3 linked regions of the Coturnix japonica genome follow. The protein of the gene in region 2 purifies or fractionates together with the protein of the main gene of each other region. This does not show direct contact. Links are inferred from orthologs where the notes say so. Each region holds a gene or a part of one and is shown on either strand. Other genes may lie near its edges. The genes, in order: fructose-1,6-bisphosphatase 1; TRIM47; PPM1A.

Region 1 (10,564 bases), on a different chromosome or scaffold from region 2:
CCTCAGGGAATTTCTTCTTCCTGAGATACTCAGTGATGGCAGAATCAAAGTATTTAGCATAGCCTTCATTGAGACTGTAGATATTCCCCTTCTTTTTGATTTTCACATCCCTATCAACCAAAATGAATTCTCCAATTGCCTAAAAGTAAGAAAGAAAAATAATGTATCAATGTTGTTTTCTGATTTATTTACAGAGTAAAAGCCTTTCATATACATGGTTTAGTAAATAATTACTAGAGATTACTAGATGCTTTCTTTAATAATTCAATATCTGTGAAAAAGGTGGTATTTGCTGTTAGGATACAGGTTAGAGCAGGAATCCTGGGTTCATGCAAGCTTCTTCATAGTACCATTACCAGCTTTGCCAGATGAAGTAATGTGCAAACGTTTCCAAATAGATATTAACATACTCTAGTTTGTCCTAGCTTGGGCTAACTAGAAGACAGAGCTTCAATCTCTGTAGCTAAGGGCTGGGCTATTTGGTTTCTAATGATGTAAATTTCTATGTTAGTGATAAAAGCAAACAAAATAACATTCACACATGCTCTAAGCTGTCTCCTATCTGAAAGTAAACAAAAACACATGCAGCTAATTAAGCTCTTATTTTACAGGGAGCACCACAGTATATTTCCTGCTTCTTGACTGCTGCAGGTTCTAAAACTTTAATGCAGGCATTGTGGTTGACTGATAACACAAAGACGGGTTATTGTAGCAAACGACTTTCTGCTGTTGTCAGTATGTCTTTGATTTTAAAGCTTATGCATCAGTGTGTTCTACAGCGTCTAACACATTCACACACATCACTTACTCTTTTACTTATCGTGGAGAGATCTGAAAATACATAAGTCAGTTAAGAATCTCTGCTTCAACAGTTTACTAAGGCCCTAGCATTAAGAAAAAAAAAAAAAAAAGAAAAGAAAAAATAGAAAAACCTCAGCTGCATTCTGCATTGCAGAAAATAGCTTGTTTTAAATGCCACATTATTTGACACATGCTGCATATTTGCTTCACTGACTCAACTGTCTTCCCATTACTGAATCACTGACTGTGGCAGGCAGATGGAATGCAAAAATCTGTTGATCTTAGTTTTGGCAGGATACAGAACGTACTTCATTTTTCCACATCAGCTTTAATTTGAAAATTGTACCTTTGACCTTTTTGATGAACAAATGGTTCTTACGGACAGTACCTTGTTATCCCTAAATAAACAAACAAGCAGAAGACATTCTCACCGGATCAAGCATAAAACAGTTGACACCTCCAGCAGAAGTAGCCAGTACCAGCATTGTGGCACTCCCATAGAGAGCATAACCTGCTGCCACAAGATTGCGCCCAGGTTGTAAAGCATCTTTCCCAGTAGGTTCATCAGGGGATACCTAGAACAAGGAGGAAAAAAAATTACTTCATTTTTTAAATCTGGTATGTATTATTATTGGACTCTGAGATAGGAATGTCTTCTTACTGCATATTCATGCAACACGTAGCACAAATGCTTGCATGGCCTACAACTAGGATTCCTAATGGATGTGTTTTATTGTCGTATGCATTACATATAGTGCACAAATTACATGGAAGAGACACATTCATTTAGAAATGCTCTTATATAAGCATTGTTGGAATGCAGGAAACAGGAAAGGATTAAGGCGATAATATAGAGCTGCACACCTCCTGTGTAGGTGGTGATGAACATGGCTAGAAGCAAAACTCCAAGTCATAGTTGAAAAGCAAGCAATGAAAAATGACTCATGGAGTTTACAGCTGAGCAAAATGCCTAGGGTTGCTTTTATTTTCCTTTGCTTCATCAAAAAACGAAGTGGAAAATAGTTACTTTGAGGGATGTGAGAACAAAAAATGATTAAAACAGACAGTTGGGTGTGTTTTTATCTGGCTTACTGTTTCCCCCATCTTGTGACATGTAAGTCCAGTATTTCAGGCTTTTCAGACAAGGTTTCTGCCTTTCAGAGTGAATTAGACACTCAAATGCACATGCCATATTTCAGCTCTGGTTTATATTTGAAGCCTGTCCTCAGGCTAACATTAGTATAGAGAAAAAGAAAACCTGAAAGCACATTTCACATGTAGATAACAATTACGTGGCAATTTGTCTCAAGAAGATTATTCATGAATCTAATACCAGGTAAGGGGTGACTCCTCTAGCTGACTAATTAAATATCAGCAAGGCTTCCATGTTCTTCTAATGTTCATATTCTAAGACAGTGGTGCAAATCACTTACAAATCTTTCATACAGACATCTGAAGCAGCAGATTTAACTTACAGTCAGTCCTGGAAAGACTCTTTCACAAATAACTTTAGTGAGATTTTATTAAATTTTCATATGCAATTCTATTTTACCCAAAGGTGCACAATAATAATTTTTCCCATTCTATTGGAAAGCATTTTACCTTTCTATAGATACCAAAGATGGTCCCAATGGAAACAAGGCAGTCAATGTTAGATGATCCATCCAGAGGGTCTATGCAAACTATATATTTACCCTAAAAATATAAAATGGGGAGCAGTAAGGTTAGTAACATAATTCGCTTACCTCCTACAAATTGAAGTATTCAGTAGATAAATATTCTCAAACATTCATATATCAATATAAATTAAAATGTTCTTAGAGATTATGAAGGAACATAACTTTGTAACTGAAGGATCTCTGACCTGGATTTCATTCTTGATCACAACTGTGATTGGTGCTAAAGTAGAATCTGGGGAATTCTTAAAGTAATTAACAGATGATGAAACAGCAAAGCAGGTTCTCATATTCAACTTTTTTTTTTTTTTTAAATTCATTATTTAAAAAGTTAAGTAATCAGTTTAGCTTTATATAAGAAGTTAATGCTGATCCATTTTGATAGACATCCTCTAACATCTACTATTTAGACTACATTTTCTCATTTCTAATGAAACTGTATGCTGAATTTTAAGGAAACAGACAAGAAGATCTATCTTCTTTTTATAAAGAGCTAAAACTAGAGGGATTAAAAATGACATTAAGACCTGACATTCAGAATCTATACACTTTACTGCACATTCCACTTTGAACAGCTTAACAAAGTCTTCTGCTCAGAAATTGACAGGCACTCAGAAATTACTGCAGCCAGTTCCTGCTTTTGCCCTGTGGGCTGGGCGCTTGTTCCCCCAGAGAGGAGTGGTTTCTGCCTATGGCAGTATTAAGGATTCTTGCAGACAAAGGAAACTGCCAGTACAGGGAAAACAGATGATTCCACTATGCTTTTTATGTAGCTCATTTTTCCCTTATGCTGTTCACAATCACTAATAATCATGCATAATAAATATGTTTGCATATTTGCTTCTCATTCAATTTCAATCCTGGAAACCAGAAACGTTTTTAAACTCAGAAATTCTATACTCTGCTATCATATGGGTAGAAATTCTGAGAGAAGTGACATTTATCTCACATTTTGTTTAAAAAAAATATATAATAAAATAAATAAATAAAAGCATTAACATTGAGCCTCTCTCAGTGATCCTCACAAGGATCTGTAACTGTATTTGTTCAGATCTAAAGCATATCTAAAATTCATCCGATGCTAACACAATCCATTTTGAGGGGTTCTCGGCAAAGAAGGAAAGAGACAGCTGCTTTGACGAAACTAATGTTATACTTTTTAAATTATGTTTGCTGTTTTTTTCCTCTATACTTTTTGCTCTGATTTTTTTTTTAATTTATTTATTTATTTTGCACACCAGAATATTAAGCAGCAGAAAGGAATTATGATCATTCAAGAAGGATATGCAGACCAGGAAATATAATTAAAGTCAAAAAGTTGGAATGATTTTTTGTGTTGTTGCAAAAATCTTATTTTCAGGCCTTCTGGGAGAATTTGCCTAAACTGGAGAAGTGAAGATCTGATCTGCAGCAAGTAGTCAGTGTTTTACTGATAAAGCTCCTTTACAAAAGTGCTGTATAGACTCAGAGTGCAGCTCCAGAGATCAGGAGGAAGAAACATGAAAAACACTTCCTCCACAATTAGGAAAAAAGTGGGGAGAGAAAAAAAAAAAGTGAGGAAGAACATCAGAGAAAACAAAACTAAAAATCCAGTCTTGCAAACAGAAATAGCAGGCAGGACAAATGTGGGGACAGATGAACACGTGCACCTACAGAACAAACTAACTGAAAACAGACTGTATATGTCCATATGGAAAAGTACATGTTCTCTGAAATTTTTAGCCCAGATCCAATTTCCCATGTTTGAATAGACACAGTTGTAAAGATCAGTCTGAAATAGAGTACTGAGAATTTTCAAAGTTACCAACCCTTCTGTCAGCTTCAACTATTACAGCATCCTTGTTTTCTTCAGAGACAATAACACATGTGCTGAAAGATGACTTGAGCATGTTAATCACCAAATCGTTGGAAAGGATGTCCAGCTTCTTCACCTGATCTCCTGTCACATTGGTAGAACCAGCAATCCCATACCTAAGGTAAGGCAAGTAGAGAGCAACCAGTCAGAGGAGCGCGCTGCAGCCTCCAAATCAGCCCATTTCTGACAAGTCTATGCTTGTACAACATCCTGCAGTGGAAACAGTACTGATAGATGATCTCCCAGGTTTTTGCACCTGACTTGCTGTCCAATGCATCCTTGCTAAAACTGGCTATGGTCTTAGCACGGATCACCTGTGTCATGAAAAAATCTAGAAGACACTGAAGATGAAGTACACAAAAGAGGGAATTATTTTTCAGTTGTCCCTGAATTATAGACACATATAGCCAGAGCAGGCTGTGAAGGCTGAATTACAAAACCACATTACTTTATACTAACTATAAGACCTAAATGTTGTCCCTCCATCCTATCTCCACTGTCACAGCTGCTTACTCTAATAGCTAAGATGTTGCTGGAAACTTTATACTTAGGAAGTGAATCTGACTGTGCTAGTTACATTGTAACTTCTCAATGTAGTTTGCTCTTGGTTAGTAGTTCCACGTACAAGTTCCAAAACAAACACTTTGCTCACACATAAATCACCAATTTTATGGTTCAGTGTTTTCAGCTTTTCACTTTAAGTGGTAAACATTTATTTGGGAATAAAGCTGAGAAACACAGGCACAAAACACAAATAAAGCCTTGCAAGCTAATCAGCACTACTCTATCTGACATCAGGAAGTACTGGGAAACCTTGTGACAGGCAATGTTGAAAACATCCAGAAGAGAGACCAGGAAGTTCAGCTCTCAGCAGAGAAAAGCAGGACTCAGCTCTGCACATACTGAGATTTCTCTAATGTACTTCAGCCACGATACACTGATCAGTGTGAATAATTTGGTAATTCAGGTCTTTTGCAATGCTGAACTTAGAAATACGGTGTGCTGCCTGCAGGGGACCTGTCATGACTCTATGTGTTTGAGTTTCCTCCCAGTGTTCCCAGAGCAAACACTCCTTGGTGTCAGCTCTGTTGGCTGCCACAGTCTGCAGTCATCCTCACAAACTCACAGTGCTACAAAATAATGTGGAAAAAAGAAAAACTAGCACAGTACCACGTAGCACAAAGTGGTGCTCTGACACTGAGTTGTTAACTCCAGTGAGCAGTAACCCATTGATACATGCCCTTCAGCCTGCTCCTTTGGTTTTCTGGTTCAAAACACCCACACCTTTTTGATGAAGGTCTATGTGAGGGTCAATCAGCAGCAGTGTCTGCTAAAGGGACCCAGAAGCAAGTAATACTGCCTACTACTCCTGGGAGAAGATGCTGTCCGAGTTGCTGCCGCAGTCCCAAGAAGAAGGTGGGAAGAGCGGAAAGACTACAGAGCAGCCCGATGTCTTATGGCCATCCCACCTCCCGCAGCTCCCGACTGGCAGCCCCCACCCCTGCTCGGGGCAGGGGTGTCACTCACAGGTTGGCGATGCCGGCCTTGCGCACGGCAGTGGAAATGGCCTTGACGGCGGTGCAAAGAGAGTTGAGGAGCTGCGTGAACTCCCCAGTGCCTTTCGCCCGCCGGCCCTCCTCCATCACGAAGCGGGTCATGGTAATGACATTAGTGTCGAAGGCGGAGCGGTCAGTCATGCTGCTGGCGCGGGTCGAGAGGCACCGCTGCCCAGCCGCCGGCTCTTCACTTATTCCCGAGGGCTGGACCTCGCCCCTCTGCCCGCCCCCCGCTCCGCCCACCCCCCGCTCCGCCCCTGGGGCTGGCGACGGCAGGTCTTTAGGTGGGATCCGTGCGGCGCCTCGGAGCTCTTTAAGATCCCTTCCAGCTTGAGCCGTTCAGTGGTTCAGGAAAACGTACTTTCATGTCCACTGGTCCTAGAGTATGCCCATACACGGGTCATTTCTGTGATACTGTTGTCTGTAGGAACTGACCTTGTCATTAAATAACTTAAGTCCTAGTAGTCAAGGACAGATGACTTGTGAGAATGTAAAGCTTAGTGCTTTATTTAGCACACAAGTTTTCAGACAGAATCTGCACTGTACAGTTTGTTCTGTACCATGAGAAATGGCTATCTAGCCAAGACATCTGGCTCAGTTTTTCTGCTACCTATCTAGACTATAACGTGGATATATCCTGAAGCAATTCTGATCAATTCTCAAATATGCATTCGCTAAAAGAAAACTTAGTAATTTTACCAAGTGCTGTAGTATGTGTGTAATTCTTGCCTCTTTGTCAGAACTTTCAAATATCTTAAGGCAATGCAAAAAGATCACAGAATCATAGAATGGCTTGGGTCAAAGAGATCTTTAAGATCACCTAATTCCAATCCCCCTGCTATAGGCAGGGATACCTCCCTTTAGACTACCCTCATAGTAAAGAATTTCTTCCTAATATCTAGTCTAAATCTACCCTCTTCCAGTTTAAAACCATTTACCCTCATCCTGTTGCTACCTGCCCTTAGAAAAAATCTGTTCCCCTATAGGCCCCCTCTCCCCGTAGGTCCCTTTCAGGTGCTGGAAGGCCTCTATAAGGTCTCCTCAGAGCCTTCTCTTCTCCAGGCTGAAAAACCTCAGCTCACTCAGCCTGTTCTCATAGGGGAGGTGCTCCAGCCCTCTGATAATCTTCGTGGCCCTCCTCTGGACCTGCTCCAAGAACTCCATGTCCTAGTGCTGGGGTTTCCAGAACTGGACACAATACTCCAGGTGGGGTCTCATGAGGGCAGAGGGGCAGAATCATCTCCCTTGACCTAATAGTCTCAATTCTCTTAGTACAACCCAGGATACGGTTCCCTTTCTGGGCTGCAAGTGCACATTACTGGCTCATCTTGAATCTCTCTCATCAACTGACATCCTCAAATCCTTCTCCTTAGTCCTGCTCTCAAGCCATTCTTGGCCCAACCTGCATCTATGCTTGAGACTGCCCGAGGTGCAGGACCTTACATGTGGCCTTGTTGAACTTCATGAGGTTGACATGGGTCCACTTCTCAAGTTATGGATAGCATTTTATCCCTCTAGCACTTCAACTGCACCACTCAGCTTATACCAAGTGCCTGCAAACTTGCTGAGGGTGTACTTGATCCCACTGCCCCATAGCCTACAAAGAAGTTAATAACACCAGTCCCAACACTGATTTCTTAGGAATACCACTCCTCACCAGTCTCCACTTGGATACTTCGCCACTGACTGCAACTCTCTGAGTGTGACCATTCATGCTTTGCAGAAGTCCAGGTGGATTAATGTCATTTGTTCTTACTTTATCCACTAATGCTGTAAATCCATCATAAAAGGCCAGCATGTTTGTCAGGCACGGCTTGCCCTTGATGATGCCATGTTGGTTATAAGCAGTCACCTCATCTTTATTTTCCATGTGCCTTAGTAGGGCCTTCAGGATGATTTGCTTCATGATCCTGCCAGGCGCTGAGGTGAGACTGGCTGGCCTCTTGTTCCCCAGTTCTTTTTTTTCCCCTCACTGAAAATGGGGGTTATATTTCCCCTTTTCTGGTCAGTGGGAACTTCATCAGACTGCCATGACCTTTCAAATATGATGGACAGTGGCTCCATCCACCATTTCCCTCAAAACATGGGTAAATAACAGGAGCAAAATGGGGGTCAGAAAAAGGAAGAGAATGCAAATGTCAGAAGATTCTTGGACTGCAAAACAATTTGTCTTACATCCTAAAACACATGAGAACTCCTACAGCAATCATGCTATGTGGTAAATGTGAAACTAATATAGGATTAGATGTAGTCTGTACACGTTTTGAACTTTTCCCCTAGAAATCAGTAGTTAAACATTTATTGAAAATGAATTTCTGTCATTTGAGAAGAAAGGTCAGTACTGGTTGATTAAACATTGCTGAAACTGTCAGTTCTGTATGGAAGAAAACATGGTCTTGTTTGCAAACAGATGACATCCAACTAAGCACAGAGCACAGCTGATCTAGAGTTGTAATTGTGCAAATCCACAACATTTTAAAACAAATTATTATTATGTAGAAAATGAGATATAAAATTATTCCCAGGTACTTTGTTACCAAGCTTCCCTCTTGTAGATTCAATTGACAGCCAAAAGGACAATGGGAATAAAGTGCTTTTGGAAAGGCTTCCCCTGAAGTAAGAGTGTCCACATGGGGAGGGGAGACTTAGATCCCACTTTCGCTGAGAGAAATTTTTTTTCATGCAAAAGTCTGAAAGATGTGGAAGTTTCTTTTCAGGTGGGTGGTGTGAGAGTCGGATCTAACAGTCAAGGGTGATAGCTAACAGATGGTATCTCTAACTCACTATGCCATGGTGAGTGGGACTGGGACACTGTGAAGGGGATGGCTCAGGCTTTTTATCATTTGCTTCAAGAGGTGGATCATTAGAAACTGCAGTAGTAATTACAATCCTTCAAGCTGGGGAGAGTGTCATGTGGGGAATTCTGAGGTGGGTTTATATCCACACATTCAGTCTTTCCTCTTTTTAGCTTCAGTGCTTATCTATTACATGAATTTGGCATGCTGGGCCAGCATCCCAGAGTATTTATTTATGACCGTGATAGCAAAGCACATCACATCAGTGGACACAGGTGAAATATACCAGAAGGCATTAGCATGAGAGGGATGCAATTATAAGGAAAAACCAATTAAAAATTAATATCTAACATATTAACTAGAAAATAGAATTAATTTGATACCATGCATTAAATTACTTTGCCAATTGAACTGGAAAGCTGATATCAATATAAATACTGCACTGAGGGGTTTCCAAGCTGTGCTTGTATACTGTCCTGTTGTGTTTGTACACTGCCCTCCCGTGGAAGCAGCGTGTGAGCACTTTCAGTGTTGTACTGTGAGGCTGGCTCTTCTGAGAGCACATTTGGACTTCTCTATGAGCTGGCAAAGTATGTAACATGCAGACGCTAGGTGCTGAAAACAAAGTATACATGGATCTGAAAAATAAATGTTGAATTGTAAAACCTTGTATTTGTTATTGAACCACAAGACCCTACCTTCTAAACATAGTAAAGAGTATGCTATCTGAAATTACTCATGCTACCACTTTCCATCTTATAAAATGCATAAAGTATAAAAGGTATGAAAAGCATAAAAAGCATAATTAATTCTACATCAACAAGATTCAAAAAATTGCTGCCAACCTGAAGAATTTTCAGTGCACTTGGCACAAGGTCAGTCAAATGGTAGAGTTAGTATTTTGACTCTTCATTATGCAGGAAGAAATAGATTTTATCAATGCCATGGTTACATGATGTTGTTTCTCAGTGCAACAATTAAATGGAAGAACATTGCCTTTCTATATTTAAAAAGGAAACCTGAAAATTCAAGAGGAATTGCCAGAGGTAGAACATATTGGAAACAATCAAATTCTCTGCTCAGACCCTGGTGCTACCCCTAGGGCAGATTTCTGGGCAGATGTACCATTAGTGTCCTTGCATATCTCATTGCCGGATTAAATAACTAGTTATGTCACTTCACCCCAGAGAACAGTCTGCTCAGTTGTTTCAGATTCTGTTCCACAATTTAAATGAATGTTGGCACAGGAGGTTCAGCTTTGAGGGTAGGACTTGAGCATTTGCTTGGCTTTAGTAATTTTACTTTTGTACAGACTTTCCATGTAATTGCAGGTGTTTACCAGCACAACAAGTCTTATGAAATTACAGTGGTTGGCATTTCCACCTTTGTTTGTTGTGTGAGGGGGACTGATCAGAAATAACTGTTAGCGAGGTACAGACTACAGGGAATACAAAAACATAGCTCAGCATTCACAAAAGTCTTCTTTTGTGTAAGCCTGTGAAATACATGCCCAAGAAAGGAGACTGTTAATAGCTATTCCCTGTTGCTCTTTACAATCCATATTTGGTTACATGATAAAAGTAGGCAGCAAAGCTACTTAGAATGACCTCTAACCTCTACATTTTAAAAATTATTTCTATCCGTAGTTTGCATCAATTGCCACAGCTTCTAAATTCTGATTAAGCATCAACTAATCAGTATAGTTGTCTTGTGATATAAAGAGGTAGACAGAGAAGATTGAGGAAAAGACTTCTTCCTGGTCCAGAGAGGAAAAACCTGAGTAAAAATGAACAGCTGGCTGATTATGTCAGCAATTTACACAGTATGAGAGACAGAAGAAGCAAATAGGAAAAAGAGGCACTGACAAAACAAGGGACTGCC
Region 2 (10,503 bases):
TAAACGTGGCTTTAACTCTAAACCTCCTGGCTTTACGCCTGCCTGTTTTTCACATTCACTTTTTTTTTTCCCCCCTTGGCTCCCTTTGAATATATCACTGTGACTTCCAGCTTACCCTCCTGGGGAATACATACACATATATTTTGTATATTTAGCTCAACGGGCCATTTTTCCAGCCCCGCTGACCGTTGGTGCGTCACCACTGACTCATTCATGCCAGCAAAGAATCCGGCCCCATATATTCTTTTTCTTTTTATTACCCAGCATTACTATTCTGTCAAGTGAGCTTCAGGAGGTAGGTAGCAAACTAAGCCCAGGAAAAATAAACCCAGAGGAAGGCAGGGAGGGCTGAGACAGGAGCTGCACTGTGCTGCCTTTGCAGCATCATTGGGGCAGTGCTGGCAAAGCTCCTTTAGGACACATGAATGGGCACCGTGCCTGAAGCCTCCACCTTTCCCAGATGGAACGCTGGCTTGAGAGCAGTTGTTGTTAATTGTTACTTGTTCCTGGTGTCTTAAGGGATTTAAGTATTGGCTTTTATCAATGTGCCTAAGAAACACTGTTTACTCCAGGCTGTACTCGTAGCAGCTTTTGGTTGTTTGAAAGGCTCCTCTAAGCTATAGGGTGCATTTACAGCTCAGATGTACCCTGTGTGCTTGAAGAATTGGGAGTTTCCCAGCAAGTCCCTTCCTTCTCCCATCAGCGATGTTTGGACGTGGTGTAGAACAGCCCAGGGCTCCAGCACACCTAGAAAGGACCACGGCTTTTCCACAGCGTGCCAAACACGAGGGATGCAGAGATCCTCACTCCTTGTTGGCGGCACTGATGGGCATCAAGAGGCTTTTGGATGTGGGTCGGTGCTGGGACGTGGGTCGGCAGTGGGACTCCAGTTGGCAGTCAGTCAGGATGATGCTTGGTGGTCTTGAAGGTCTCTTCCAACCCAGATGATTCCATGCTGCAGTTCTGGAAGGTGCTTTGCCAAGTGGGGCTGCCCCGATGTACGGAGGGAAGCCATGATGAATGGCTCCTCTGGGCTCTTCTCCTTGGGCACTTACCTGCGCTTCAGCACTGAAACACAATCCTTCTTCAGCGGCCCGATCTGCAGGTGGGCATCCACGCTCTCCAGGAAGAAGGCTGGTTTCAGCTTGAAGGAGAACAGAGCTGCAAACTGCTGGTTGATCTTATGTTGGAAAGGGTCCGACTGGGCCTTCCCAAAGGAGCCAGCCTTGAGCTGCTTCAGGCACGTCATTTTGGAGTCCTTGACTCCATAGAAGGTCAAAGCCTTCTCCGAATACTCCAAGAAGACCCCGATCGTGTGGAAAAATGGCTGCTGGATGACAGACTCTAAGCCACCGAACCAGGCAGCATAATTCTGCCCGTTCCACTGCAGGCAGCAGGACCACGTGTTGCGGCCCAGGCGGCTGTGGTCATAGGAGTCCTGTGGATTGAAGACCTCGGCAATGACGCCGATGCTGACCCAGCCATCGATGAGCTCCACCTCCCAGTAGTAGTTGCCCCGGTTCATGAGGTTCACACCCAGCACTTGCTCGCAGTTGATGAAACGGGTCGGGCTCTCTGGGTAGGGGATGGGGCAGAGCACCCGCTTGGCTCCCTTGGTGCCAAAGAGCTGGATGAACTTGTCGGCCGTATCGCTGTCCAGGTCGATGATGAAGGCAACTGTATGGGGTGAGGAGAAGACAGGAGGATGAGGAGAGAGGGAATTCCCCCCAGCCCACCCTGCTCCAGCACTCATAATTCCCATGATCTTTTTCTGACTCTGTTCCTGCAGCATCCTTAAGCCATCACCCTGTCCTCCTCCTTTTAAATCATAGAGCTGCAGAATCACAGAATGGCCTCTCTCCCATCTCCTGCCTCATTTTAGACCTTCCTTTTCTCCTCCCCTTCCTTACCACCGCAGCACTCCCTGCACAGCCCCTAGATTCCCCCTCTGCATCACACAGTTGATGCTGACCAGCGTCTGGCCCAAAGCAGATGCACCAACCCTGATCTAATTTAACACAGGATTCAATTCTCTGGAAGGAGAACAGCATTATTTATACTGTGTGCTCACAGCCCTGTGGCAGCTGCTCTGGCAGAACCACAGGCTGGGGAAAAAAAAAATCACCTAAATAGATTATGGTCGTTGTCAGGAAAGCAAGGAGACTTCCTCGTTAGCTGAGCAATATTTCCTCTGGCACATAGCAATGGGGCCAGGGCCTGTGGGATGGAGGATGGACCATAGCAACAACTGTCAAAGCAAAACCCCATCACTTACATTTCAGGAAGTACTCGCGGCTCTCCAGGCAGGCGGGATTGTTTGACTTGTCTGGAAACGAAGACTTGGTCATTGCTGGGGAAAAGAAACAGAGACAGAAAGGGTTTGTCACAGCAAAACTGCTGCCATCACTTCTGAAGCATCATCCCTGAAGCCCCCCATTGGTATCCAGAAAACTGAGGGACAGGAAGGAGCTCAGCCTAAGTGAGAGCACAGAAGGGAGCATCCCAGCCCTCCAGCCGCTGTGGTTTCTAACCCTGCAGCTCAGGGAGCCCACAACCTGCCCAGTGAAGGGAGCTGCCTGTCCTGGGAAGGAACAGTCCCCTTTCACAGCTCTTTGGCCCCTTGCCCCCTCCCACAGGGCCGTGCCTAGCTCTCAGGCTGTTTGTTGCCTCTCAAGCCTTTGGTCTCCGTGGAAAACTTCATAAAACCTCAAGGAGGAGGCGTTAGCCCAGACAGTGGTTGTGCAACCATGCCTGGGAGATGGGCCAGCGCTTCCAGGAGCCCCAGAGCCCACAGGCATCTTCCCAACCCCGACAGGAGGATGCACCCTTGGGCTCCCCACATGGGCATGGGGCCAGGTGGGCACAGACCTTCCTCTGCCTTCGGGAAGCTCATCCCATCCACTCCTTTCCCCTGCAAACAGTCCCACTGGCTTTTGCGGGCAGCTGACAGAGCATCCTTGACGGCACAGACGGCTTGGGAGCACTTGGTGAAGTTGAGCTCTTTCTGGAAGCTCGGAGCCGGAGAGAGGTTGTCTTCCATGGCTATTTTTAAGGCTTGAAACTCCTGAGCCAAAAAGACAGAGTTTCAGGAGGTTTCAAACAAGCCGAAGCTGCCTCTTGTTCCGCAACCCCACCCGGCCCCGGAGGATTTGGGAACTGGCAGCCTGCAGGACTTGGCCCCAAAGCAGCCTTGCAGAAGGGAGGAGGGCGGCCACGTGTCCTTGGCTCCTTCTCCTCGCTCTCTTTTAAACCCAGGCTCAGGCCATGCCCATCTGAAGAGAAGCATCTCCTCTGCAAAACATTGAGGAATACTGCAAGGGGCAGCGGGGCACCCCATCCCCAAGGCTAGGTACCGAGCCTGGGCTGCAGTGAAGGTGTGGGTGATGGAGGACAAAGCTATGGCAGCCCAGCCCAGCCCAGCAGCAAGGAGAGGATGCTGCAAACAGGTGGGGGACCCCACAGCCTCACAACCTTCAGCTCTGTGTGACAGGGGACCAAACCCAGCAGACAGCACCTGCTCCTCCTCCTCACCTCCGTGCCCACCACGCACCTGAAGGAAGTAGATGGTGTCGGTGCTGGGGACGTTCTCCAGGTTCTGCTTGCCCTGGGCCAGCTTGGCTCGCCTCTCCTCCTTCCAGCGGAGATCAGCCTCGGCCTCCCCCAGCATGGAGCGCTCGCTGTCCTCAATATAAGCAGCCACCTCCTTCTGGAAGGTGGCCAGCAGCTCCGAGGCTTCTGCAAAGAGCTTCTCCACCCGATCCTTCTCCTTGCTGGCTACACCCTGAGTGCGAGGACAGAGGGGTCAGCATCACTGGAAGCAAAGGAGGGGGCACCCAGGACCCTCCCAGCTCCCGGCAGTGCCCCATTAATGGAGGAGGTCCATCCCTTAAGGCACCTTAATGAGCTCCACCATCTTCCTGGTCTGTGCGATGGTGACAGCCAGCTCTTCCAGCTCGTTGTCCACACTGCTGAGGAATTTGGCTTGCTGAGCCTGCAGACACAAAGGACGAGCACTGAGCTCCATATCCATAGGAAGCAGAGCACGACAATAAACCCAGACCAGCTGCAGCCCCCTCCTCCCCAAAACCATGGTTTTGTTATTGGGTATATAGGAATGACCAGTTACCTTCCCTATTTCCTCCCTGTGCAACCCTCTATATCCACCCAACCAAGCTGCAAACATCCCTTCTGCATGTTCAGCAAGGTGCTCAAGGCTGGAAAAAGCTAATTGGGACCAGTGCAGGAACTCAGCACTGCATTAATTCCTGGGATATTTCTTGTACGAGCAAAGCAAAACTGCTCAGGAGCATGAGGTGCTGCAAAGGAAGCACAGCGCTTCCTGATGGCTATTGTTAGCCCCAGCCTGCTGCCCACCATGGGGACAGGCCCCTTGGGAGCCTTTTGGGAGCATCACGTGTGTTACTGGGCTGACCTCCTCCAGTGCTCAGCCTGGGGAGGTGGGAGAGGAGCTTTTTCAGTCCCTCCTTCCCACCCCACAGACAGCAGCGACACTCAGCAGTGCCTGTTGAGGAAATAGCTTTCTATTTCAAGGGTCCTATGACTAATAGAAGGGCTTCCCCATATCCCCAAGAGCCCACGAAGGACAAGCAGCCAACCTGGGGCTGCTGCTGGGTGTCTGCATGGTACCCAGAGAAGGGGGTCACCCCTGAGGTCCCCCATGGCCCCACAATGAGACAGGGATGCCCCCACGCTGCCAACCTGGCAGCTCCATCTCCCCGCACTCGGAACCACAGGGAGGTTTCGTGGGTGAGAAGTTGGGAGGTGACTCAGCCACATCTGGGAATGGGAGTGACGGAAAAAATCCCTGCTGCCAAAAGGAGCAACACAAAGGGCTCATGGAGCGGGAGAGGCGGGCGGGCAGCCAGCCAGGGAGAGGAGAAAAACTGCCTTGATGGAGCTGTGGGAACCAGACGGGGAAGGCAGGCACCCTGTGGGGGGAGCTGGGGGTCCCTTGATGGCTGCAGCACTAAACCCACAGACAGGGCAGGACTGACTGTAGTGCCCCAGCGATGGGCTGTGGGGTCCCACTGCGCCCCATGCAAGCAGCCCACCTGCTGGGGTGAGATCCCATGTGAGGGTGGGATGCAGCGCCCACCCCATCCAGGGCATCCCAATCACCCACATGGGGAGATGCACGCAGCCCTCACCCCCATAACACAGCACCCTGCTTTATTCCCTGACATGGTGCAGCTCCTTGGTGTGGGGGGGCCCAGGTGCTCTCACCCCCAGCCCCAAACCTATAGGGACCGCAAGGTTGGTCCATCCTCCCTATTCCCTTTCCCCACCGCACGCATAGGGCACCGTGCAACCCCTGTGCCAGGCTGAGCTCCTCCACAGCATCAGGGTTCCCACTCAGAACCACTATTACACCCCTCGACCCTCCCTGCCGCCCACCCTTTGCCCCCCACGCACCTCCTTGAGCTCCCGCTCCTTCTCGAGGGTCACCACGTCGTGGCCGCGGTGCTCGTGGGTTCGGCAGCGGGCGCACACGCAGGTCTGCTCGGCCCTGCAGAAGCCGTCGAGGGGCTGCAGGTGCCGCGGGCACAGCCCTTCTTCCAAGCGCCGTAACGGGGCTACGAGGCGATGAGAGCGGAACGCCGGGGAGCGCCGGTGGGGCTCCAGGTGGGCACCGCAGAAGGACGCCAGGCACACCAGGCACGAGCGGGCAGCCGCCGCCCGGCTCCCCTCGGGGCACACATCGCACAGCACCCCCGAAGCCCCCTCCTCCAACTCCGCTTCTCCCTCCGGCTCCTCTTCTGCCCCCGGCGCCATCTCGGTGGGTGAGGACGCGGCTCCGGGGGGTCCCGTTGTGCTGAACCCGGCGCTACCGGGGGGGGATCCGGGCCCGGGCTGAGGGGATGCGATGGCCGGGGGGGTCCGCGATCCGTCGGGGGACGACCCGGCCCCTGCGGCCCCCAGCAGCGGCAGCACCTCGCACAGGGCGCGGTTCTTGCTGAGCCTCAGAGCCGCCGGGAAGGGCTCCTGGCACAGCGGGCAGCGTGCCGCCCCGCCCGCCGCCCCGTCGGGGGGGCCCGTCCTCCCTCGGAGCTTCCCCAGACAGCCCTGGCAGAAGTTATGGCCGCACGGCACCGTCACCGGGTCCTTCAGCAGATCCAGGCAGATGGGGCAACCGAAAGGACCGTCGGGCAAACCCGGCACGGCCAACGCCAACCGCAGAGCCGCGGCGGTGGCGGCGGAAGGCACCGGCTGCGCTCTCCCGGGCGCACCCTCCATCCCGATGCGACCCGACCCAGCGGCCCCACCGGCGCTATGGGGCGGTCGGACACCGCGCTCCGCCCGCCCGCTCCGCCCTCTGCCGCCTCGGGGTGGGGGGATCGGGGCCTCCTTCCCCCCCCACGGGGATCCGGGAGCCGTGAGGAGGGGTCTGCGTTCTCCCCTTGCGAGTGGGTGCCCCGTGTCTGTGTCACTGTGCCCATGGACCAAAAGCGCCCCGTCCATCCACCCCATCCATCCTTGGGACGGACCCATCTGTCCGCCAAAAATGAGCTTTCTCCTTCTAAACCTTATTTTCCCCAAAGGGAACAAGCGGAACTGATTCTCTCCCCTGCTCAGCTCCAGCACCTTTGAGCCCAGTGGCCAATTTCACCCACTTACCAGCATCCCCAGGGATGAGAAGCTTCAAAGCTTTGAGGTTTTATTCTGGGTCAGATCAACCTTGGGGCAGAGACATAGGAAATCACGTTTCCCTTTTCTCTGTGCTGCTGTAAACAGAGCCATGACTATTTCTGCTGCTGGACATGCAGGAACAGAGGCACCCAGCTCAGCCCCACCTGCACTGAGGTCACACCAGCAGGAAATCAGAACTTTATTGGGGTAAACAGCTTCTTCCAGTGAGAAACGTGTCACCCCAAAAGGCAGCTCTGCCACCTCCAAAGCAGTGTGAGGGGGTGGGGATGGCTGGGAGCACAGGACCTGCCTGCAGCCCCCACACCTTCCCATGGGCTCTTCAAGCCTCATTTTCCTCCAGGTCAAAAGGCAAAAGGGAATCCCATCTCCACATCCCATCTGCATGGGAGCACAGCCCCCATAAGTCCCTATGGACAGTGATTGGGGTCTCCATCCCTGCTGCAAGAGCATCACCATTACCTGTGTGCCTTATTCCCTACCCAACATGTCACAGCCCCAGCTCTCCATCATTGCCCTCACAGTCCCTGTGGCACAAAGTGATGGTGCGGCCCTCACACAGCCAGAACACGGGGAACAGCGGCTCCGTGAAGACGGTGTGGAAGGAATGGATGAGCTGCACCTCCTCCCCGAGGCCATAGAAGGAGAGCAGCCCACACTCATAATCCAGGCAGACCCCCAGCTCGGTGTATGGCCGCAGCTGGATTTTCTCCTCCTGCCCCTTGTGCCGGGCGACGTAGCTGTCCTCCCTCACCTGCAGCCCCCACGAGCCGCCATCCAGCCCAATGTTGAACTTGCAGCCCTTCACTTTGTGCCGGGAGAGCCCACCGTAAGTCACCCCCAGCACCACAGAATGGCTGGAGATGGTCACCTCCCAGTAATGGCGGCCCTGCCCGTAGCTCTGCACACACAGCACCTGCCAGGGCTCGAAGCGATGGCTGCGCTCCTGCCAACCTGCAGCGGTGCTGGGGCCGTGCTTGGCTCTGCGCTGAGCACACGACAGCTCCAGGTACTTGTTGGCCGTGTCGGGATCGAAGGTGAGGTTTCGGTGATCTGGGGACAGCAATGACATGGGGATGCTTCAGCACAACCCAAAGTTCATGGCAGCCCCCACCAGAACCCCCCTTCCCCCTAAACAGATGGGTTTGAGGAGGAGATATGGGGTTGTGGGATTTACTGACCTGGTCCCATTGGCTATTCTGGGCTCCTGGCTGCTGCTAATAAATGTTGTTGGTTTTTCTATTAATAACACTGAGAACAGCTCATGCGACTCAGTGGAAGAAACCCTTATAGGTCCTGTATGCACTGATTGCCTTGCTGGGAAAAGCAACCTGACCAAAGCACCCTAAATATTACAAGTATTTGGGTTGTTTTTTTTTCAGCAGGGAGGAGATGGGAAAGGAAGCATTTAGGAAACGGTCCCTAAAGGAAAAGGGAAGGGGCACCAAGGGCTGAGTGTGGGGTGGGCACTGGATCAGCCCTGCACACCCCTCTGGGTGCTGGCACTGGGACAGTGCTGCATCCAAATCTGGGGCATCGGGAAGGGTGGGAATGGGGTGAGATCAGCAGGGGCTGACCCCATAGCAGGCACTGTGGGAAAGCCATCCCTTGTGCTGCTGCCCCCTACTAAGGAGCCTCTCCCCAACCCCATAGTGCTGCCCCAGCCCTGCAGCATCCCCCCCTCCTGCTCCTCACCCTTCAGCAGCTCAGCACGCAGCCGGCACTTGGGGACAGGGCTGGACACCACCTTCATTGGTGTCTCCTCGGGCTGCACCGGGCCTGTGGGTGACAGGGACAGGCATGGAGGGTGATGTCACCCAGCTGCTGAGGGCAGAGGAGAAGGGAACCCCATTGGGTGCACATTTGGGAGTGAGCAGCAAGGAGGGGACACGCAGGAACCACCCAGCCCCTCCTGTACCCAGATACCTGCCCTCATCCCCGTGTGTCCCAGCACAGTCTCAATGGCCAAAGTGAGGTGGAGGCATTTAGGGCAGCCTGAAGCTCACCTGGGGCAATGGGGTCAGGTGCTTCAGGGGCACTGGGGCTCAGCGAGGCAGGCAGCTCCTCCAGCAGCAGCCTGGAGGTAGCAGTGAGGATCTCGCTCATGGGTTCCATCACAACAGCCACGTTGAACTCCACCAGCGGTGGCACCTCCATGCTCTGCAGGGTTGGGAGCTGCAGGAACTCCTGCAGATGGACACACAGATATCAGGGGAGATGTGACAGCCCCCAAACCTGCATAGGCAGCCCCAAAATGCCCATTCTCCATCCTTACGGGTGGGATTTGGGGTGTACCAATGGTACCTTGAGGAAGGTCTGATGGTCAGTGCAGTCCATCAGGTGCTGTGCCTGGTCCCGGTGCTGCCCAAGAGCCTCCAGATGATCCTTCAATGCATTCCGGTCCTTTTCTATATGTCCCATAGCCACTGACTCCTCCTGCTTCACCTTGGCTACCATCTGCTCCCGGAACTTGGCCAGCGCTTCCTCCAGGTGGGTAAATTTGCTCAGGATCACAGCTTGGAGCCTCTCAGAAGAGTCCTGCAGGGATGGAAGGCTGTGAGGTGTGGAGTGCTCCCACCCAGCCCAGCCCTGGGGTGGCTGTGGCCTCACCTCGATGCTCTGTGCCCGCTCCTCCAGCTCCCGCAGCGCCTGCTCCATCCTCTCTGCTTCTCTCTGGGCTTCTTCCAGGGACCTTTCCAGCTGAGCCTGCGGAGGGAGGCAGCCCATACTGCAGCCCCTTGCCCCCAAGGACCATGTTAGGAGCAGGGCAGGCTGCATTCCTTTGCTGCTTCGTGCCTTTACACCCCTTTTTTCTAAACCAAAGGGATCACAAACGTCACACAACGGGGCTCCCCTTGTTCTGCCTTTTGGGGCGCCCTCCATGCCTGACAGCCACACAGCTCAGCACACAACCCCCCCATCTCTTCCCCACCTGCTTCCTGGAGCGCACGTCTTCAAACAGAGCCGTGCGGTGCTGCTGGCACCTCCGCACGACGCACACGCAGCAGATGCAGCGCTGCTCATCCTCACAGTACAGCTCCAGCGGGCGGCCATGCAACGAGCACAGCCCAACATGGGCCACCTCGCAGCCCCCTGCCTGCACCCTGCCCGTCCGTGCCAGCTCCACCACGTCGCTCAGCGTCACGTTCTTCTTCAGCTCCAGATGCTGCTCGCAGCTGTAGCGGCACGTAGGGCACGTGTAGCCCCTCTTGGGCCCGTTGACCGCCTGCTCCTGTTTGTTCCTGTGGTTGTCGATGCAGTGCTCGCAGAAGTTGTGCCCGCAGGGTAAAGTGATGGGCACCACAAAGAGCTCCAGGCAGATGGAGCACAGCAGTTTGTCCTCCAGCTTCTCCGAGGTGGGGGAGGCCATGCTGAGCTGGGGATGGGGAAAGGAGCAGGAGGGTTGGAAGCGGCCTGCAGAGCAGGAAGAGATGTGTGACGCTGAGCATAGGGGCGGGTCAGGGCTCTGGGCCAGCAGTACCCTTAAAGTGACACCCAGTGGGTGCAGCTGCCCAGACACAGCACTGCAGGATGCAGGAAATGCTGCACTGACAGCACCATGCAAGGGGCTAACAGGGCTCAGAGCAAGGCATGCCATTGTATCCATGCACTGGATGGGTTTTGCACTGTGGAATGATGGAATTGCACTGTTCTGTGCAATTCAATTTCACTCTTTCATTTGTCAATCGTTGCTCCTTGAGAGAGCATCTGTCAGAGCAGCTGCTTGTCCTCCTTTCTGCAGTGATAAAGGCTACAACCCAGCCAGCCCAACCTCACATCTTCCCTTATTATGCAGCTCATGCTACTCTCATGTGCTCAGGCACCGCTGCTTGCAGA
Region 3 (10,618 bases), on a different chromosome or scaffold from region 2:
TTCCAGCCCTTGTACCTCAAGTTGTACACGATGATACTCATCTCGTGATCAGAAGACGTTTCCATCAGGGCCATAAGTTTTCCTGCAGAGCCAAGTGCTCGATATTACGAAACAATTCAGTGTAAGGTGCCATTCTTCAGACTCTTAAATTTAGTGAGAAAGTATTTGTGGTTGCAACACAGCAACACTGCCACTATTGTGGTGAGGAGACATGAAAAGCAGCACACGAGACTTCAAACCTGCTGACTACACATGGGAGTAAAATGGGAATAAAATAGGAAATGTTCTGAAGTGCACAGCTGTAACCTGGCTTTGCTTGCAAGGAAATTACATCAAAACGATGCCAGAAGCACATTAAGATCTGGAAGTCAAATCCTCAAAGCTTAGGAAAAGCTGCAGTTTGGTATCTGCACACGCAGAGAGCTTTTATTTGACAAAGCCATTTTGCCCTCACATCCTCAGCATTCCTCTCTCATTAAAAGGACAGTAAATGAGTGCTAGAATAAAGGCATTTTCCCCCAAAGTTTATTTCAAAAAAGAAAATGAAATCCAAGGAAAAACAAAAGTCAATTGTAGCCTTTCCATGCAGACAAGAACTTCCAGGACAGCAGGCTTTCCTCTGAGAGCCCAGCACCCACCAAGCTCAGCTCTGGCGCTGTCAGTGCAGCCAGAACTAAAGGGTTACCTGTGATGGACGAGGCTCTCCTGAACCCAAACCTGAGCTCGCTGCAGTCTGAAATACCCTGCCACTGAACCGGGGTGCTGAGGAATTCATGTGCTCTTCAGAAGTTTAAGCAGTGTGAAGATCAGTATTTCCTAAGCTTAGCAGGCCTGGACTGACAGCCTCAGAACAGCTCTGTACAGACAGAGGCTGTAGTGGATCTATAGGAAGGGTCTATCCAAATCTTACTGTATTTATTAGGAAAGAAACTGATTATCTCTTAACACAGTGTCCTACAATGTAAAACTTAACTATTTTACCTCCCTACGTTTCTCTGCATTCTGAATCACTTGGTTGGTTTTATATAACTTAGCAGACAAGTGGTGAACTCCTTCTAATCATCTCCAAACACGAACAGCTTAGGCACAGATTACACAGCTTCTGTGGCTGCTGATTTTTAGGGTATTCCCTTAATCTAAAGCCAGCTGAGTGTTATGCACAAACAGCCACAATACGTGGCCATGGAGAACTCAGACTGCCATGCAAACTCCATACCAGGAGTACAGACAGTGTCAATGTTAAGCGTAGCTACAGAAAATCTTTCAAGTCACAGTTGAGACCCAAAGATGAAAGCACATTTCATCCCCTGGGTCACAACCCAGTAAGGCACGTAAGTATGAGTTACATCACACATCCAAGCAGCCCCACATAATTCAGCTGCACATTGCGTATCAGTGTAAGCACATTGAAGTGCTTTGCTTTATTTAAACTGCAGCTATCAGAACACAGTCACATTATACTTGAGTTTCTCAGGTTTACAAGTGATTTTCCTGGAAGATTTAGGACCTATTTTTTTTAATCCATTAAAATATTCTCACCTGAACCAAGAACTGAGGTGTTAGCAGTCAACAAAGTAATGGACTTTCTCCTTTATGTGCAAACTTTTAGCATTTCTCCAAATTTCAATACTGAAACCTGATCAGCCAGCTTTGTTTTACCTTCATATTAGTCCTAACATGCTCCTTTGCTAATATACTGTTCTAAAGTTTACACTCCAAACAGCAGAAGCCTACTTCAATGGTATGATTTATAGATGGAGGAAGTGTTTATTCTGTTGGTTTGGTCACATCTGAACACCTTTTTAGAAGAGCTGTTAAAAAAAAAAGCAACAAAACAGAGCAAATGTTTGATATATTTATAAACACACTTTGTTCTGCAGACTCTGGTAGCAAGCTGAAATAACCATTAGTTAATTTTACTGGTATGTGAAAACAACAACAAAAAAAATATTAAATGAACACCCGGTTAAACAAAGGCCTGTTGAGCTTAAACACACACAGAAACACAAAAACAGACTTGACAGATACCTTGAACTTAGCGTGGCTTAATAAAAGCACAGCTTGGCAGATAGACGTACAGCCAGGCCAACCTTCCAGCACTGGTTTCACACCTACAGCCCTCAGCAGGACACCACCTCTATCCAGGAACAAAAAGCAGCACACCCCCTCAATTATCACGGTATCTCACTTGTTCTCCTATCACAATTTTCTTCCTAGCCTCAAAGATTTAAATGATTCGCTCTAACAGTATTAAGTCTTAATAAATATGAAGTTCCTTCACAGATGGGAAAGGAAGCAACAAGAAGCCCCAAGGAGGTAATGCTGCCCTCACAGATCCATACCACCTATTTGATATTCATACCACCACATCATGGCTCAAATACATGAATTCTTTCTAAACAGCTCAAATTTTAGCTAAGTTCACTCCTTATCCTACTACTTTTAACTGAAATATGGATCATATGACAAACACAAGCGACACCAATTAAGAATCCAGCAACAAACCTACATTCAGAAATAGCTTAATTTCCAAAAGAAGAAATCTGACCGATGTTTAATCATCTAAGAAGAGCCACAGATTATATATATATAGATATAGATCGAGGAAAGGAGTGAGACATGGTTTAAGAGAAAGGAGGAGCAACAGTCGCAATAGCACAGTATGCAATAGCAGCAAGGCACGTTGCATAGCTCAGGTGTAGCTCTGCTAAGCTGCTGTTGTCTTGACTTCAAACAATATTATTCAAGCCTTATTAAAATGAGTTGCAGGTCTGCAGAGACAAAACAAATCTAGTTATTTTGCAGAACTTCCCATTCCAAAATTTGCTTGTTTGTAAATAACTTGTAATTATGTAAATGCACTTTGACATTAGCACTGGCTAATGTTTCTACATGAGCATCAGAGCATGTAATGACAAAACCAATATCAAAGTCGATATTTTAGTATGAAATGTGCTATTCTTAAATTACCTACATTTAGGTCATTAAGTGAAAGTAGTTCCTTTAAATTCCTAGTTCCACTCTAAAGGGACAAGTGCAATCAGATCTCATATTGACAGCTGCATTCAAAACCATACCAGTTACATAAGTTTGCAAATCACACTGTGCCAAAGTACCTAAGCTTTTTAACGACAGTTCTTCAAACGCTCTCTCAGCACGAGTGACTCAACTTCACCATATAAAACGCGCTCCAGATAAGAAGCAACCAGCTTGGTTTTATAGAAAAGGCTTTTTTTGTCTTCTGCTTTAATTCAAATTGCACCAAGTGAGCTCGGCTTGTTTAGACCTGCAAGCTTTGCCATTCCTTTGGCACTTCCATCTCTCCTCCTTGTTTCCAAAGTCTCTCAAGCTTAATTCCAGACAGCTAAGGAAGCACTTGGAAAACAGGTAGAGTTTTCTACTGCACCTCAATGAGAAACGTTTACCAGAAGACAACTAAAGGACTAAACGTATTGGCCAGAGCTAAGCTGTGCCTACCCTCTAGCAAAACACCCTTCCATCTGAAGACAGCGAGAGCACAGACCAGATGTCTCCAGTACAAACTACAGTTAGCAGAGGGTTTCATCAGATAAATGTGACTGTGAGGAAATTAGTAATTGGCATAATGCATCAGCAAGACTTTTACTTTTAGAGCAGCCCCATGTACAAAACGCACGCCCAGGAAGACAGGCCTGGAGGGAAAAGGTCTGAGAGCAGCTCTCCCTGCCCTGGTGAGAGATGGCTGGTACACCTAGCACAGCTATTCTTCTTCACTATCTCTCCTTTGATCACACAGGGAAGGAGTACAACTTCCTTGACCCATGTTTTCCTCCACCCCTTCCCTGTCTCTGATCTTATTCATAGAAAACCTAGGAATAGTATCAAAAGAAAAGCTGTCGGAGAAGAAACGTGGGTAGAACTTGCACAATTAATGCCTGTTAATTTGGCAATTCACACAGGGTCGTGAGCACAGCAGTTACCTTTAATTTCATGGGGGGCTTCATGAATCCTTCAGCAGCCACCTGGGCACTGAAGCAGTACGTGTAGAGAATAAGCAAAAGGTCACACTGATCCTATCTGCAAAGTAAGTTCCTAGAATCACAAGGGTTAGAACTTCTCTGCTTCACAAGATGATTCTACTTACTCTGTCATTATCCATCATGATCTATGGAAAATCGCCTACCACCAAAGAGGACAGAGCTAAAGCCTGTTGCTCACAGGATTTCATTTAAGACTGCCATCTGCTTCAAAGGAGGAAAATAATTCTTCAGCGTGACACACGCAGCCTTATGGTGACCACACAACCACCATTTCCTCATCTGACAAAAGGTACGGCGCAAAACTAAGTTCCTCACGAGCACTAGGTGGTTTTGCAACAGCAGGATTTTGCCATACCCGTGGCACGGCACTGAAACATTTCAACGTGCGCAAAACAAACACGCAGATATCTACGAGATGCCTACGAAATAGGTTCTGAAACGACGACCCAGCCCTGTGCCTTCCTCAGTCCAAGGCAAGGCCGGAGGCTGGATGTAGCTCTGGAGCGGAGCTTCGTAGCACCGCACAACTTTCAGCTGCGAAGGCTCCATCTCCGCAGCCACACCGCAACCTTTGCTCACACGACGTCGCTTCCAAAGGCGGTGAAATAAACCTCCTTCAAAGTTTAAAACGCCCTAAAGGCGCCGCCGAGGGGAACCCACCCGCCGCATCACGGCAGCGCTCGGGGAGCGCCCGATGCTCCGACCCTCGCTGTAGGGTGGGGTGCTTTATAAATAGATGCGTGCTTTTTTTTTCCCCCCTCTCTCTATTCCCCTCCCAGCGCCGTGCCTCAAGCATTTGGGTGGCGATGGGAGAGGAGGAGGCTGTTTATAGCCATTATTAAATGAACTCTGAAGCGGCCCAGGGAGGGGGGAGGAGAGGAGAGGGCAGCGCGCTGCTACCTGCGCCAGGCCGCCGCCTGCGCCCCAAGCCCAGCGCCCAGCCGCACTCAGGGCCCCTCAGGTCGCCCCCCCACCCGGGATGGCGCCTCACCGCCCCCCTCAGCCCGGCCCCGCACCACTTACCCCCTCCGGGCCGCGGCGGGGACGGCACCGGCTGCGGCGGCGAGGCACGGCCGCGCTCCCGGCGGTGTGTCGGGAGGGGAAGGGGGGGAGAGCAGGGGAGGAGGAGGAGGATGAGGAAGGGGGGGGCGGCCTCGCCTCAGTTCATTCACAGGCGGCGGCTGCCGAGGGCGGCTCGCTGCCCACGGGGAGCCCAGCGCTCATCTCGCCTCCCGCTCCGCTCCGCTCGGCCGCCGCCGACCCCCCCCCTCCTTGTCCCCGCTCCCCTCCCGAGCTCCGCGCCCACCCGCGCAGCGCCAACGAGCGTCTCCCCGCCGCGCTCGCGCACGCACTGCACAGCCACCGCCACCGCCTCCTCCTCGTCGCTTCTGCGCATGCGCCGAAAGAGCGGCGGGGAGGGGAGGGGGAGGCGGGAGCGCGCTCGTAGTACCCGGATGTTGGGGCTGCGAAGGTGGGGGCGGGGAGGTATTACATCACCCTGAGAGAGCGAACCGCGCATGCGCCGGGCGGGAGCTCGGGGGAGGTGACGTCATCTGAGCGCCGCCCCCAGCGCTGAGGGGAGAGATGTGGGCAGGGGGCTGAGGGGGGTCGGGTCATTCCTACACCTCACCCTGATGGTCATGGTGTGTGGATGCAGCCCAGGATACAGTTGGTTTTCTGTGCTGTGGGGACACACTGTTGGCTCATATGGTCCTTTTCTATGGGGCTGTGCTCTGCCCTCTCACCCCAAAAAGGAATGGTTGAAGTAGGTACTTAGTTAAAGAATCAGGAAGGTTGTTGAGGTGGTTTCTGTATTTGACAATAATACGGAGCTGTATGTGAAGGTTTCCCGTTGGAAAAGTGCTGGTTGTGCTTCTGCTGCCATTCCTGTAATGATCGGCACGGCTTTAATCTACATGTGCCAGCAGCAGGAGGCAGTTAATGGTGGATTAATTGAGGATTCTTGTACAGGCAAGGCCTATAGAAGCAGAGATGTAGAGGGCAAGGAAAGCTGAAATTAATGTAACAAAACTGCATGGTTGCAATGCTTCTCCAAAGGATGGAGTTACTGCGTTTCAGCATGACTTCAAAATCTGCAGTCCCCATTGCTGACTGGAGTGGAATGGTATGTTCAGACTCAGTCCTACAGTATTCGTTCTAGTCATGTTAGTGTGAGCATGAACAACACTCAGTAGCACTTGGTATTAACTCTTTCACTCCCTTAAGTTGCAGTGAAATACAATTGTTTTGTTTGGAGTAGGATTTGGATCAATAATCATCTAAATATCAAACATATTGGTGAACTAATGTCCAGGCTGCCTTGAATCAGTGGTGGAAATCAGGCACATACAGATAATCATTCCTTTCATGCTTACAATGGTGTCTAAAGCAGCTTGGTCAGTTTCCCTGCTGAAGGTGACTTTTCTCTCCTGCAGTTTCTCTGGATGTAGATGAAGGTGAGATGACAGCCCTGACAAGATTCTTAAATTTTCTGATGGCTCAAATTAATTATTTAGAGCTTGTCTAACGTAAATCTTTATACTCGTGTAAAGCTTGTAATAATCTTGAACTTGCCAGACACTTACGCTTGGCCCTACCTCATCACTTCTCCAGTGGGCTCTGCCTATTTTTAGAATGTAAAAGCCAGCAGGATGACTGTGCTGCAGGCTTTGCGTCTTCTTAGTACTGTTACTGCAACACCCTGGTGTAATGATGTCTGTAGGTACCTGCTGAGGCAGCTGTGCCATTGGGAACTCCATAAAATGCCAGTGCTGTAGCTATGATTAATAGTCACACGATGTTTAAGTCATCAAATGCACACACCATCCTATATCCAAACTGGATGTATCTGAAAGATGTCACAAAGACTATGAATGTTTGAAGAACACAGTATACAAAAGCCCTGTGCTCTTTAAGTGCAGCAGTTCTGATATGATTTACTTTCTGCTGGATTCTTGTAGGGGGCTAAACAAACTGACATGCTTTGCCTCCTCAGAGAAAAAACATACTCTCCATTTACAGGGTTTTCTGTTTGTTTTTGTTAATTAAAAAAAAAAACATTTTGTGAAAACAAAAACTTGTATTTTGCAGCCTACAAAATCATTATGGCATTGCAGTGTGGTTTTCTGATTCGTGCTTAACAAAAAGAAAGCATTTCTCACCGATTCTGTTCTTCTACTGAGAATTTACTGATGGGAGTAACATGCTGTTCTGGAAAATCAGCCAAAGTAAAGCACTGTGAGACTCAAATATCAACAGAGGGAAAACCATTTTTACTCTGAAAATTAATATGAAGGTTTATTATAGAATAGTTACTATTTTTCTCTCCTCTTTTTTTCTTCAGATCTTCATATTCTATTTATAGATTTCTAATTTGTCAGTACTCATCAGATATCACATTTGCAATGATATTCCAAATACAAATAAAAAGCATATTTTTAATATCTTTTCCATTATAGCTATTGATTGGTGCCTACTACTCAGTAAGGCAGGTGTAGGCTAATAAGTTATGTCACACCTGTGCTGGCTGGGAGGATTGTGCTGAGATATGGAACGTGGTTGGTTTTCCCTGCAAAACTTGGGTATGAAAAGCTTGGGAGCTGCAGCCTTGAGTAGGAAACCTGTATAATAAAGGTTTGTTATACAGGAAACCTGAATAATAAAGATTTGCTCTTGAAGATTATAATTCAGTTGCTCTGTAGAATATTTTCCAGATTTAATAGTAGCATTGGACAGGACTTTGGCAACTGACTGACTATATGAGCTTAAGAAGCCTTGTAACATTCCCTCAGTCTTCCTTTTCTTAGAATCTTGCTGGATGTGTCAGAGTGACAGCTGTGATTCTGAACCTTTTGTCCTTAGCTAGTACTAGTTTTCAGTGTACAACACAGTTTTTGAACTTCCTAAATGCTTTTTTTTGTTACATGATGTAAAGACCAGGTTTAAGCCTGGCTTAATGCACTGGAGTTGGAAGGGACCCTAAAAAGCCACTGCACCAAATTCATGATAGTAGGATGTAAATGATGGTCTCATTGAGATCACCTGCTTTACTCTTCAGCACAGAAACCGTGAAATGGCTTAAAGTGATATTAGTAAAAAACTGAAAGTGATTTAAAATGTATTAAATTCCCACGTGACAGGTCTTAAGCACAAATATTTTCCACGGTTCTTTTCAGTCTGAAGGGTTCATGCTTTATTGAATCCCCATTTGTCAGTGTACAAGATGTACAAGATGTTTTTGTTAGTTGCTGGAACTTGAATTTTCTAGAGGTAGTTTTATTTTTACCTGTAAGACAAACTGTGAGTTACCCAACAATCAGAATATTTTATCACCCAGGCTTTAGGCTATTTCATATATCGGATAGTTCTCCCGATTTAAAAATGTAAGGGTACATGTGAGTTGCTGTTCTCGTTTGCTATTAGTAGTCTGTGCATGAAGGCCTGTATCCTCACTGAAGTCAGTACAAAGCTTCCATTGACCTCAGTGTTGCAGGATCAAACCCTTAGTCATTAGCATGTTGTAAAAACGGCTGTTGTCTCAGTCAATTTCAATGGGCCTGGCTACAGTTGTTAGTTGTTTAACCTAAAAATTAGCTTAGCAATTACAGTTGAAACTACATGTCAGACTGTTGATACACAGGAATACATCATCCTGAGTCATCAGGGCTTCAATGATGCTCTTAGACTTTTATAATTATTAATGTTCAAGTGAGAGATTCTGAAATTGAATAAAGATTGGAATTTCCAGATGTGAAGGAGATTCATATTCTGTGAACTTTGCCTTATTAGTCCTTTTGTTCTATAAACAGCCGTATCTAGTTGCCTTCTTCACACAACCAAAAAGCTTACTTCTTCCTGCTCCCATTCACATAAGTCTGTTCAGTCAGTTGTCCCTTTCAACAAACAACACAACCTGAGGCACAGCTGGGAAAGTTCTTTTGTGCGTGTTTTAATTAGTTGCATCAAACTGCAGTTGATCTAAAACCAACATGTCAAAATCAAATAGCCAAGGTTTGGAGACTGTGCAATCTGAACATTGCTCGGTGTTCTGCAAGATGGGTTTGTAGAGTACCAAGGCTTCTGGAGAATCCAAGGTTTAAATGATATTCTGATTCATGCCATCTAGGCCCATTTTAATTGATAGCTTAACTGAGGTTTCACTTTAGTTTCATTACATAAGCGTAGACATGGTGTGTCTATAAGAAGTAAGACTTCATACTTACTGGCATAAAGGACATCATAAAAATAGACAAGAGATCAAAGCTACGTGTGATGATGACTTCTATTAATATCAGTTTCTCGCATTTTTATGACCACCCCCAGCCTCGTGCCAGTGTTATATTTCTTTGAGACGGAGCAGAAGAAAACATTAGCAAAGCAATAAAGGCAATTATTAAAAAATAAACCCACAACTCCATGTTGTTCAGTTCAAGCTCAGTTTCAGGAGAAACATATCAGAAAAAAAAAGATGATCTCATAAACTGGGACACATTAGTTTATGCTTGAGTTTTATTTTTTTGTAAAGCATTCAAGATATCCATTGCAAATAATGTGGTGCAGTTTCATATCAAAGTATTACTCACAACATAGACGGGACTTGGAGATGATCCAAATCTCCACCCTGCTGAGATGGGATTCTTCCTTCTCAGGGAATTTCAGTTCATCCAATAGATTAAGAAAGAGTCCAGCTACTTCTTAAGAGATTTGGTCATCTGATTTTTTTTAGGTGTTTGAAATACGATTGCTTTCTTGCTTGTTTTCATTCATTGCAGTCTGTCACCTATGTATTTATTTAGTATTTTATATTAGTATTTGAATTAGATTTGTGTGTATGAAAGATGTTTTTATCAATACATGTATTGATAAAACACTGTGTTTTTATCAATACATGTATTGAAAAACTTTTGTAAGGATAATCAAAATAATTGGTTAGTAGCTGACATTTAGCATGTTATATTCTAGTTCCCCCTTGTGTTGTCGTACCCTTGGTATGTGTTCAAAATAAATAATATAACCCTTTGTAAGAAACAAGGCACAGAAAAGGCAAAAAGCTTGGTTTATAATGATGAAGAAAAACAATTAGGTAAAAATGGGAAAGCATTGGTGATGCAAATTTGCAGCAGTCAGCTGAGTACTGGCTTGGAATCATTAGCTCACTCTGCAGAGGTCTCAAGGTTGCCATTCTGTGACATAAATTTCAATTAATTATGGACACAGTTTCAATATGAATGTAGCAGTTGACCTAAGCTGAACCCAAGTTAGATGAGAGGCTCATTACCAGTAATGGGAATTTTCCTGCAAGTGCAAACTGAAAAATGCAGTAACATACCTTCAGAGCACCAAGCAAACAATTCTCTTACTCATTCTCTAGGTAAAATCAGTGAACACTTAAAGATAATGGTTGTGGAATGTTTCATTCTCATCAACAGCAACCTACTGAGTAACCCATAGTGAACAAACAACACCCTGGTGCAGTTTTTAATGCTGTATTCAAAAATAAAACTTAAGATCTTTTCTGAAAAGAAACCTTAAAAGTGTTGAAGTCGATCCAATGCCTTTCAAGTTAAACTAAAGATTCCTACTGACTTCAGTGAGTCTGG

Evidence for each region.
Region 1: the proteins of TRIM47 (region 2) and fructose-1,6-bisphosphatase 1 purify together in Homo sapiens (affinity purification with western blotting; 3 studies listed by BioGRID). This does not show direct contact. The link is inferred for Coturnix japonica from reciprocal best matches to the Homo sapiens genes TRIM47 and FBP1.
Region 3: the proteins of TRIM47 (region 2) and PPM1A purify together in Homo sapiens (affinity purification with western blotting; 3 studies listed by BioGRID, with this or other methods). This does not show direct contact. The link is inferred for Coturnix japonica from reciprocal best matches to the Homo sapiens genes TRIM47 and PPM1A.

The regions. Positions count from the first base shown.
Region 1 is NC_029547.1:37,636,533-37,647,096, forward strand, and holds the start of fructose-1,6-bisphosphatase 1, read right to left. Parts: upstream 6,084-10,564; 5' UTR 6,030-6,083; coding exon 5,860-6,029; intron 4,449-5,859; coding exon 4,286-4,448; intron 2,497-4,285; coding exon 2,404-2,496; intron 1,377-2,403; coding exon 1,233-1,376; intron 140-1,232; coding exon 2-139; intron 1-1. UniProt on the Homo sapiens protein: Catalyzes the hydrolysis of fructose 1,6-bisphosphate to fructose 6-phosphate in the presence of divalent cations, acting as a rate-limiting enzyme in gluconeogenesis. Plays a role in regulating glucose sensing and insulin secretion of pancreatic beta-cells.
Region 2 is NC_029533.1:4,023,614-4,034,116, reverse strand, and holds the start of TRIM47 (E3 ubiquitin-protein ligase TRIM47), read right to left. Parts: upstream 6,589-10,503; 5' UTR 6,511-6,588; coding exon 5,434-6,510; intron 3,992-5,433; coding exon 3,896-3,991; intron 3,782-3,895; coding exon 3,551-3,781; intron 3,065-3,550; coding exon 2,869-3,064; intron 2,351-2,868; coding exon 2,276-2,350; intron 1,678-2,275; coding exon 1,052-1,677; 3' UTR 1-1,051. Other genes in the region: TRIM65 (tripartite motif-containing protein 65), read right to left, coding at 7,157-7,719, 8,362-8,445, 8,673-8,853, 8,971-9,204, 9,277-9,372, 9,599-10,036. UniProt on the Homo sapiens protein: E3 ubiquitin-protein ligase that mediates the ubiquitination and proteasomal degradation of CYLD.
Region 3 is NC_029520.1:49,580,403-49,591,020, forward strand, and holds the start of PPM1A (protein phosphatase 1A), read right to left. Parts: upstream 5,399-10,618; 5' UTR 5,043-5,398; intron 1-5,042. UniProt on the Homo sapiens protein: Enzyme with a broad specificity. Negatively regulates TGF-beta signaling through dephosphorylating SMAD2 and SMAD3, resulting in their dissociation from SMAD4, nuclear export of the SMADs and termination of the TGF-beta-mediated signaling.